2 linked regions of the Sus scrofa genome follow. The protein of the gene in region 1 purifies or fractionates together with the protein of each later gene. This does not show direct contact. Links are inferred from orthologs where the notes say so. Each region holds a gene or a part of one and is shown in the gene's direction. Other genes may lie near its edges.

Region 1 (3,742 bases):
GGGCACTAGCCAGCCCCCTGGCCAACCTTCTTTATCTCCTAGAGGGGGAGGCTACCTCTTTAAATGAGATCCCCTACTCCAGTTCCCCCACCAACTTCGCTATGGGGAAGGGAGCACACTTTAGGATGGGACTCTGAAAAGAAGAGGGTCTGGGAACCTGAGAGTCGGTGTTTTGGGTAAATACCTCCACCCACCTATCTACCTAGTCACTCTCAGCAACGAATAGGGACAGGATGGAAGTGGGCAGGATGAGGGCAGCTGGTGGAGAGAGGAGCACACTGCAAGCCTCTTAGGGTTCTTTCTGTTCTCTCAGGGAACTCGATGTGGGGTCAATATTAGACACAGATTTGGAAGGAAACAAGGAAGGATTCTTTACACAGACTCAATTAGGAGTGCTTTGAAAGAGCCAGAAAAACTCAGTTGGAAACTCAGGAAGGCAGAGACATTCAGTCAGAGATAGACTTTGAGAGGCAGCGCCTAGGTCAGGAGTGGAGATCGGTCCCGCTGGGTCTCCCGCCTCCCCCTGCCTCCCCCGCCCCTCCCGGCTTCCCCATCCCAGGCTTCCTAGTGTCCTGAACTCCAGGTCTATCTAAGCACACGGAGGTGGGGGGTGAGAACGGGTCAGCGCCGAGCTGCCGGGTCAGCTAGGAGGCCTGAAGGGGAAGGGAGGGGGAGGGGCGCTCAAGGGCTGGGGGAGGGGGAGGGCTCATCCATTTCTCCCTTGACAGGTGGTTTGTGTCTCTGATTGGCCAGCGCTGCCAGGCTCACACCTCCCTCCCCCAACTCTCTGGAATGTATAATTATCTGCACGGGGGGTGGGGGTGGTGTGTGAGTGTGTGTGGGAGCAGTCACGTGGCTTTAAACTACCCCCTCCACAGGCCCCCCCACCTGTATGCTGCTTTAGGGACCCCCATTGAGTCCTTAAAGTGCAGGATCCCAAATTCCCGGGTACTCAAGACTTCTTAGGGCTGACGGCCCCCATCTCCAGATGTGTGCGTGTGTGTGTGTGTGTGTGTGTGTGTGTGTGTGTGAGGGGGTGTCAAACCTTAAGGTTCTGAGAAGGGACACCCCAGAGGTGTCAGAGACTGCAGTGGTGGGGGAGGGCCAGAGCTGGAGCCTGAGGGAAAGGGAGGGGAAAGAAGAGGGAGGGGAGGGGAGGGGGGCTGCCCGCGGGGGGTTGGGTCATTGTCTTTTAGAATTTGGGAGCCTTTGAAAAGCCGTGGGCCCTCCCACCGCTATTGTGCTGGGGAAGATGTAGCAGCCTCTTCTCCGAGCCACCCCTTTGCCTCCGGACTTCTCTGGGGCCAGCAGCCGCCCGACCAGGGGCCCGGGGCCGCGGGCTCAGCCGACTACCATGGGCTCTGTGTCAAACCAGCAGTTTGCAGGTTCGACCTGGGGACAACTTAGGCTACAGGAGCTCCCAAAAGCCACATAAAAGGGAGGTGGGGAAGTGTCCCCCAGACCACCCGAAGAACCCCAAGTCTGCGGGTTCCTGCTTCGGGGGGGCCATCTCTGGAGCAAAGAACCCTGGTGTCCCAGCGGCGTGCAGGCTGAGGCTCCGGGGGCGGGGGTGGTGGGAAGAGAAGAGGAGGGGCCTGTCCGGCCGACTGTCCCCGGGTAACGTGCTGTGTGTGGGAAGACGAGCAAAACTTTCGGGGCACCACTGGCTTCAGCGTAAGGTTGGGGAGCACAGGAGGCAGCCGGGACAGGGATTCTCTCTCCGGCCGCTTGGTAGCCACAGCTTCCTGGGTGTTTACCGGCGGGCTGGACGCTAGGGTCTCTCTGCCGGGTCTCTGATAGGGTCCTCCAATTCCGTGGCCCCCCAGCTGAGCGCCTTCCCAATCTCCAGGTGGCTGCGCCAAGGCGCCGGAGGAGGCGCCGGAGGACGCGGCCCGAGCAGCCGAGGAGCCGCAGCTGCTCCACGGTGCCGGCATCTGTAAATGGTTCAACGTGCGCATGGGGTTCGGCTTCCTGTCCATGACCGCCCGCGCCGGGGTCGCGCTCGACCCCCCAGTGGACGTCTTTGTGCACCAGGTGAGACCGATTCTAGTAACTTTGCCGCGGGAAGGGGATGTTGGCGCGCGTATCCAAGGGTGGGCGGTCAGCTCGGCTCTTGGATTGAAGGAGATCAAGGGCTCTCATTGTGAGTTCTCATCTTTGCCGTGGCACCCCAGTTTTGAGTCCCCGACTGACTCTAATCAGACGGGAGTTGGAGGCACAATCGATTATCAGCACCCCCAGCCCCTTCCGGCAGCCTCTCTGGCTTACCACGTGTCTGTTACCTCTTTCCCCTGGGCAGGGGGCAGGGAGGTGACCCCATGTGGCAGAACTAAGGTTGTATTGTGCTTGCCAGTGGGGGGAGGGCAAGCTGGCCGGCCAGGGAAGCACATGCCCGGTCGGAGCGGAGCCGACCTGGAGAGAGGGAGGGAAACCTCTCCGGGTCCCTTCGGGGTAAAGCTGAGAAGTCAGCGGGGTCTCCTCACCCTGATAGTCACCCAACACTCAAGCCCTGATGCCAGGGTGGGTTTGGCAGATCCTGAAGGATCAATTTGGGGGTCTGAAAGCTGCTCAAGAGGACACCACGTCTCAGGTGCACAGTTCACTAGCTGGGCTTTTGCTGTCCATTTCCTATTGGGAAAGAAAACCCAAGGAGCCAGGCCTTAGATTCCCCGGGCCAGGCTGGGAGGGAGTTGGGTTGCAACCCCAAGTTCTCAGTTAAAGCAAGGCAGCACAGTGGGGGTGAAATTCAGTGTCGCGGGCCAGGGGGTGGAGGGAGGCTAGCCTCTGGACTATTCTCTTCGGCTTGGCATTTATGGCCCCAGACAGCCATTGATTGCTGTCCTAACATTCCCAGCCTCAAACAAGGAGCCAGAGACTTCAGGTTTCCCTCCTCCCCGGCCACCCCTTCCTGAATATCTTAGAAGCGTTCCTGTGGTCCCGGGACACCAGCCTCACATAACAACCGTGCAAAGGAAGTTGTGGCTTGGGTTCCCTCCACCTTTGGAGATTTGAGACTGGACCTGGGAGGAAAATTGCTAATCCCAGGCCCATAGGTTGACACCCAGGCCGGGCATGGAGGGGTTACTTCAGGGAGGTTAGCTTTCGGAGCTGTGGGGGAGGGGAAAGGAGGATGTGGGGATTAAGGGTTGGAGCCTGAGGGATGGTATTCTGGAGGGGGAGGGGTGGGGAAGGGAGATGCTGGGTGGACTGGTTGGTGGCTGCAGGGAAATCTCTGAGCCTGGCCCTCAAGAACGCTGAGTGGGGGGAACAAGGGAGATAGAGGATGCTGGGAGATGGGGACCCACCAGTTAAAAACGCTGGGGGTCACTGGGCTATTAGAACGTCTTTCTGCCGGAAAGGTTGGCAGCAGGATGCTTGACTACCCCCTTGCTTTGCTAATTCACTCCACCCCCCCCATTTTACCCCCTCCCCATCTGACATCTAATTCTGGCTGGTGGCTTTGCCCCCCTCCCTGTCTCATTTACATATGTGAATGATAACCCACAGGAAGTAATTGTGGGAGAAAGAAGGGAATTGGCCTCTTTAGATCTATTAAATCACTTTATTACAGGAACCAGCTCTGAATGGCCCTCCTCAGCAGGGTGGCCAGCTCCGCCACTCTCCCATTTATCTGATCACAAAGAGATTAAAATCTCTCCAGGTCCAGAGAGGACTGGACAGCTTCCCCAACTTTGGAAGACTTGGAATAAAAGAGTCAGATCCAACATTTTCTTGCTTCTCT
Region 2 (3,742 bases), on another chromosome or scaffold:
TTGGCTCTTGGCCAAACACCTACATAATATCCTTGATTTTGGGTCTTGGCCAGCAAAAATATTTGCTATCTGGCCCTTTATAGAAAAAGTTTGCCAGCCTCTAGTCTAAGAATACTATTTGGGATACAGGAGACAATCTATAACGTCAGATGGAGAAACTAAGTAACAATTTAAAAAATGTATCTAAAACACCCCAACACCGTTTTCAGAGTAGGGAGGTACCGCCAACTAAGTGTTAATGTTAACAATGGTAATCCCAAAAGCGTTCAGATTGCGAGGGAAGTCACAAGTCTACGTTTCTTTAACGTTTGCTGTTCCTTGCTATCTTTCCCCGCAATTAGCAAGCGTTAACTTTACCATCGTTTTATTTCACTTTTTTTGGCCGCCCCGGGGCATATGGGCCCGGGGATCAAATCTGAACTGCAGTTGTGACCTACGCTGCAGCTGGGGCAACTAAGCCGGATTCTTTCACCCACTGAGCCCGGCCGGGGAATCCAATCTGTGTCTTGGCGCTGCAGATCCCGTTTCGCCACAGTGGGAACTCCTCAAAGTTTCATAAGTAACATAACTGCGTATTTCAAGGTGCATCTTTCTGACCGCGCAGCCTAGAAGGCCCGGCACCCGCTTGAATGACTACACAGAAGCCACGCGAGCTCTGAAAGGCTTCTGAAAACGGAGGGAGTAGAGGTGGAGGTGTCCCCTCGCCCTAAGTCTTCTTTATCAAAGAGTTGGATTAAAGAAAAGAAGCACAGCAGGAGAAACTTTTGAACCTCGATAAGCCCTGTTCCATCCCCGCCACGCCTGTAGCCTCCCAGTTCTACTTTTACATCCGGACGAGCCCGGGAGGATGTGACCGGCGCCGCAGCCCAGGCGCCTCCTGGACGCACCTCACCTCGTATTTTCCGCACCGCCGCCTCGCTGGGAGAAAATAGGGCACTGACTAGCGCAGTAACTCCCCAGGGCCCCTAGTCCTACGGAAGAATCTACTGCCCAAGTCCTCGCATTGCAACACGTAACGTGGGAAAACGCCCCAAGAGCAGCTAACGGCCGCCTGCACCGTTCCAGCCGTTCCCTCGCGTCGCGCTACAGAAGTCCATTCCGCACATGCGCGGGAAAGCCCCTGCGCGTGCGTGGTGCTCGCCCCTCCGTGCGTTCGGCCCCTCGCGGCTTCTTCCCGCCTGCCTCGTTTCCTCACTTCCGGGGTTTCCTGGCGACGGCCGTAAGTGGCGGGCGGAAGCAGCGCGCGAAGCCAGTCGTAAAAGGCTCCCTCGCGCCACTTCCGGCCGGCTTCCGCAGACGGCCCTGGTGGGCGATCGTGAGGCGCCGGAGGACGTTCCCCGCGGCTGGAGCCATGGAGATGCCGCTGCCGCCTGATGGTGAGGCCCAGCCTGGGCTCGAAGGCTGTTTCTCTCTCCCCGGAATCCCCTGTTGGCCTACCTCGCCTCCCGGGGTCCCCGGGCCTAGGAGGGGGCGGGGCTCGGCCTCCGGGGTCCGCCTGCGGCCTCTCCCGCGGGTTCCCGCATTCTCGGCGCGCTTCTGGCCCCTATCGGGACCCGTACAAAGGCGGCCTTTCCCGGACCCACCCCTAGGGACCCCCGGCCCAGCAGACGCGGGCTGGGACGACAGGGCCCCCGAATTTGGGCGGTTCTCGCTGACGCCCCGCGTGGCCTTTTCTCCGTCCTCCAGACCAGGAGCTCCGAAATGTCATCGACAAGCTGGCCCAGTTCGTGGCTCGGAATGGGCCCGAATTTGAAAAGATGACGATGGAGAAGCAGAAGGACAACCCAAAATTTTCGTTTCTGTTCGGAGGAGAGTTCTACAGTTACTATAAGTGCAAGTTGGCGCTGGAGCAGCAGCAGCGTGAGTTCTCTTGCTCTCCGGCCGTCCTCTCCAGCGATTCCTTTCTGATTCCATTTCGGGCTCTGCCACAGACCGCCTTTTTTTAAATCGCTTGTTCTTCTGGGAATATGGATTAGCTCGGTCTTCACGGTCCCATTCGCTGTTCCCGGGGCTCTGCACCCGTGCGGCAGCTGGGTCCCAGTGTAATGGAGAACGGGGTTATCGATCCTTTTGCTGGGCTCCAGATCAGGGTTTACTCTTGTTTTGCAAACGTGATGACTGAGGTCAGGAAGGTAGTGACTACTTCAGCGGTTTCCAGGGAGGAAGTAGTAGAAGCCAGATTGGGTGAGACCCTTGGGGCAAATACTGTCCAGCGAGGTTTTTGTGCATTTTAAGATGGTTGTAGCCTAGATCAAAAATGAGTTGTTTCGTGGGTATTAGTTCTTGGTATCAAAATTCCAACCCTCTTCTAAAAGAGCTTAAGATGGGGTTGGTTAACACAGTTGGTCTCTGAATAACAGATAATCACCAGGTAGTAAAGATCCCTGAACCCACATCTGCCCTGTTCAGTAGTGAATCCTTAGCTTCCAGATATGTTGTGTTCTAGATTGCCAAGTAGATGGACATTGAAAGGTGGATGCTCCCTGAACTACAAGTTCCCCACGGCCAACCGGGCCTTGTTTGGCATTGTTGTGCCTAATAGGTAGCACGTAGTAGGTGTTCAATAAAGAGTTCATAGGACACAGCAAAGGTTCAATGGCTTGAACAAGCACAGTGTGTTTTGAGAGCGGAAAGAAACCTCAGTCATCACGTTTGCAAACACAGTGTGTTGTGAGCAGCCCAGCATGGCTGGAGTTTTGATGTGTGTCGACAGGGTCGGGTTTGATCTGGAGTGGTAAATGCCAGGGAAAAGCTTGGGTTTTCTTCTTTAGTCTGGTGTTCTTCTGGTGCCTGTGTATGTTTGAGATGAGGGTGGAGGAGGTCTGTTGCCTGAAAATGTTGGGTTTTGGGTGACTTGTATGGAGGACAGATTGGAGGGAGCATTGAGTGGAGTCTAGGACCAGTTTGGTGGTAAAATCTGAATTAAGTTGGCAGGTCGAGTAGAGAATGTGGGCCTGGGGACAGTTGGGGTTAAAGGGAAGGGCCAGTTGGATATTGAAGCAGGTGGCATAATTGGGCAGGGGAGGACAGTGTTTTGGCTCCGGTTCCTGTGAGGTGAGAGATGCTTTCCCTGCAAGGGGAGCCTATTCCCATCCTGGAAGGTCAGAAATCAGGACCTTCTTGGGACGTGGTGCTATAATGGGGGTTGGGATGCTTCTGGAAGGGAATGGGGCTCAGAAAGTGTTTTATGTAGGTAACTGTTGCCATTAAAGTTCAAGTCATTTAGCTGATGGGAACTGACGAGACAAGTGTGTTCAGGCTGAGGAACACGCCTGAGGAGGGGTTGGGGAGAGAGGGGACAAGAGCTCAGGGTGCCTGGAGCCCAGAGAAGGAGGGATTCTTGGGGTGGCCAGAAGGGAGGGTGCAGAGCAGGTAGGGCTGGTTTGCCAAGGATTCAGGAATTCTGGAGGCTTTTGGGGAGCTCTTGAAGGGTTTCAAGACTATGTTCTGGAGCAGGGTTAGCCACTGTGTAGCCCGCCCTTCACCCTGGTAGTCTGAGAAGATTGAGACCCTTGACTGCTCTAGCATGTTGCCCCACAGACTGTGGTAACGGACTGGTTTTTGTTTTTAACAATTTGCTGTGAAAAGTACAGTTTTGCACAGTAGAAACATGAACCATGAAATATCAAATTGCTTTAAAAGTGCCAAAACGCTCTCTTGGCATTTCTGTGCTTGTTTATAGTCTCGGTATCACCTGGGGTGCCTTTTGGACCACACTTGAGCAACGGTACTACAGCTGTGA

The links. The genes of interacting proteins can lie anywhere in the genome.
Region 2: the proteins of LIN28A (region 1) and CHERP purify together in Homo sapiens (co-immunoprecipitation; 3 studies listed by BioGRID and IntAct, with this or other methods). This does not show direct contact. The link is inferred for Sus scrofa from reciprocal best matches to the Homo sapiens genes LIN28A and CHERP.

What each region holds. Positions count from the first base shown.
Region 1 is NC_010448.4:83,804,824-83,808,565, forward strand, and holds the start of LIN28A (protein lin-28 homolog A), read left to right. Parts: upstream 1-1,354; coding exon 1,355-1,385; intron 1,386-1,849; coding exon 1,850-2,034; intron 2,035-3,742. UniProt on the Homo sapiens protein: RNA-binding protein that inhibits processing of pre-let-7 miRNAs and regulates translation of mRNAs that control developmental timing, pluripotency and metabolism.
Region 2 is NC_010444.4:61,061,729-61,065,470, forward strand, and holds the start of CHERP (calcium homeostasis endoplasmic reticulum protein), read left to right. Parts: upstream 1-1,231; 5' UTR 1,232-1,351; coding exon 1,352-1,376; intron 1,377-1,686; coding exon 1,687-1,860; intron 1,861-3,742. UniProt on the Homo sapiens protein: Involved in calcium homeostasis, growth and proliferation.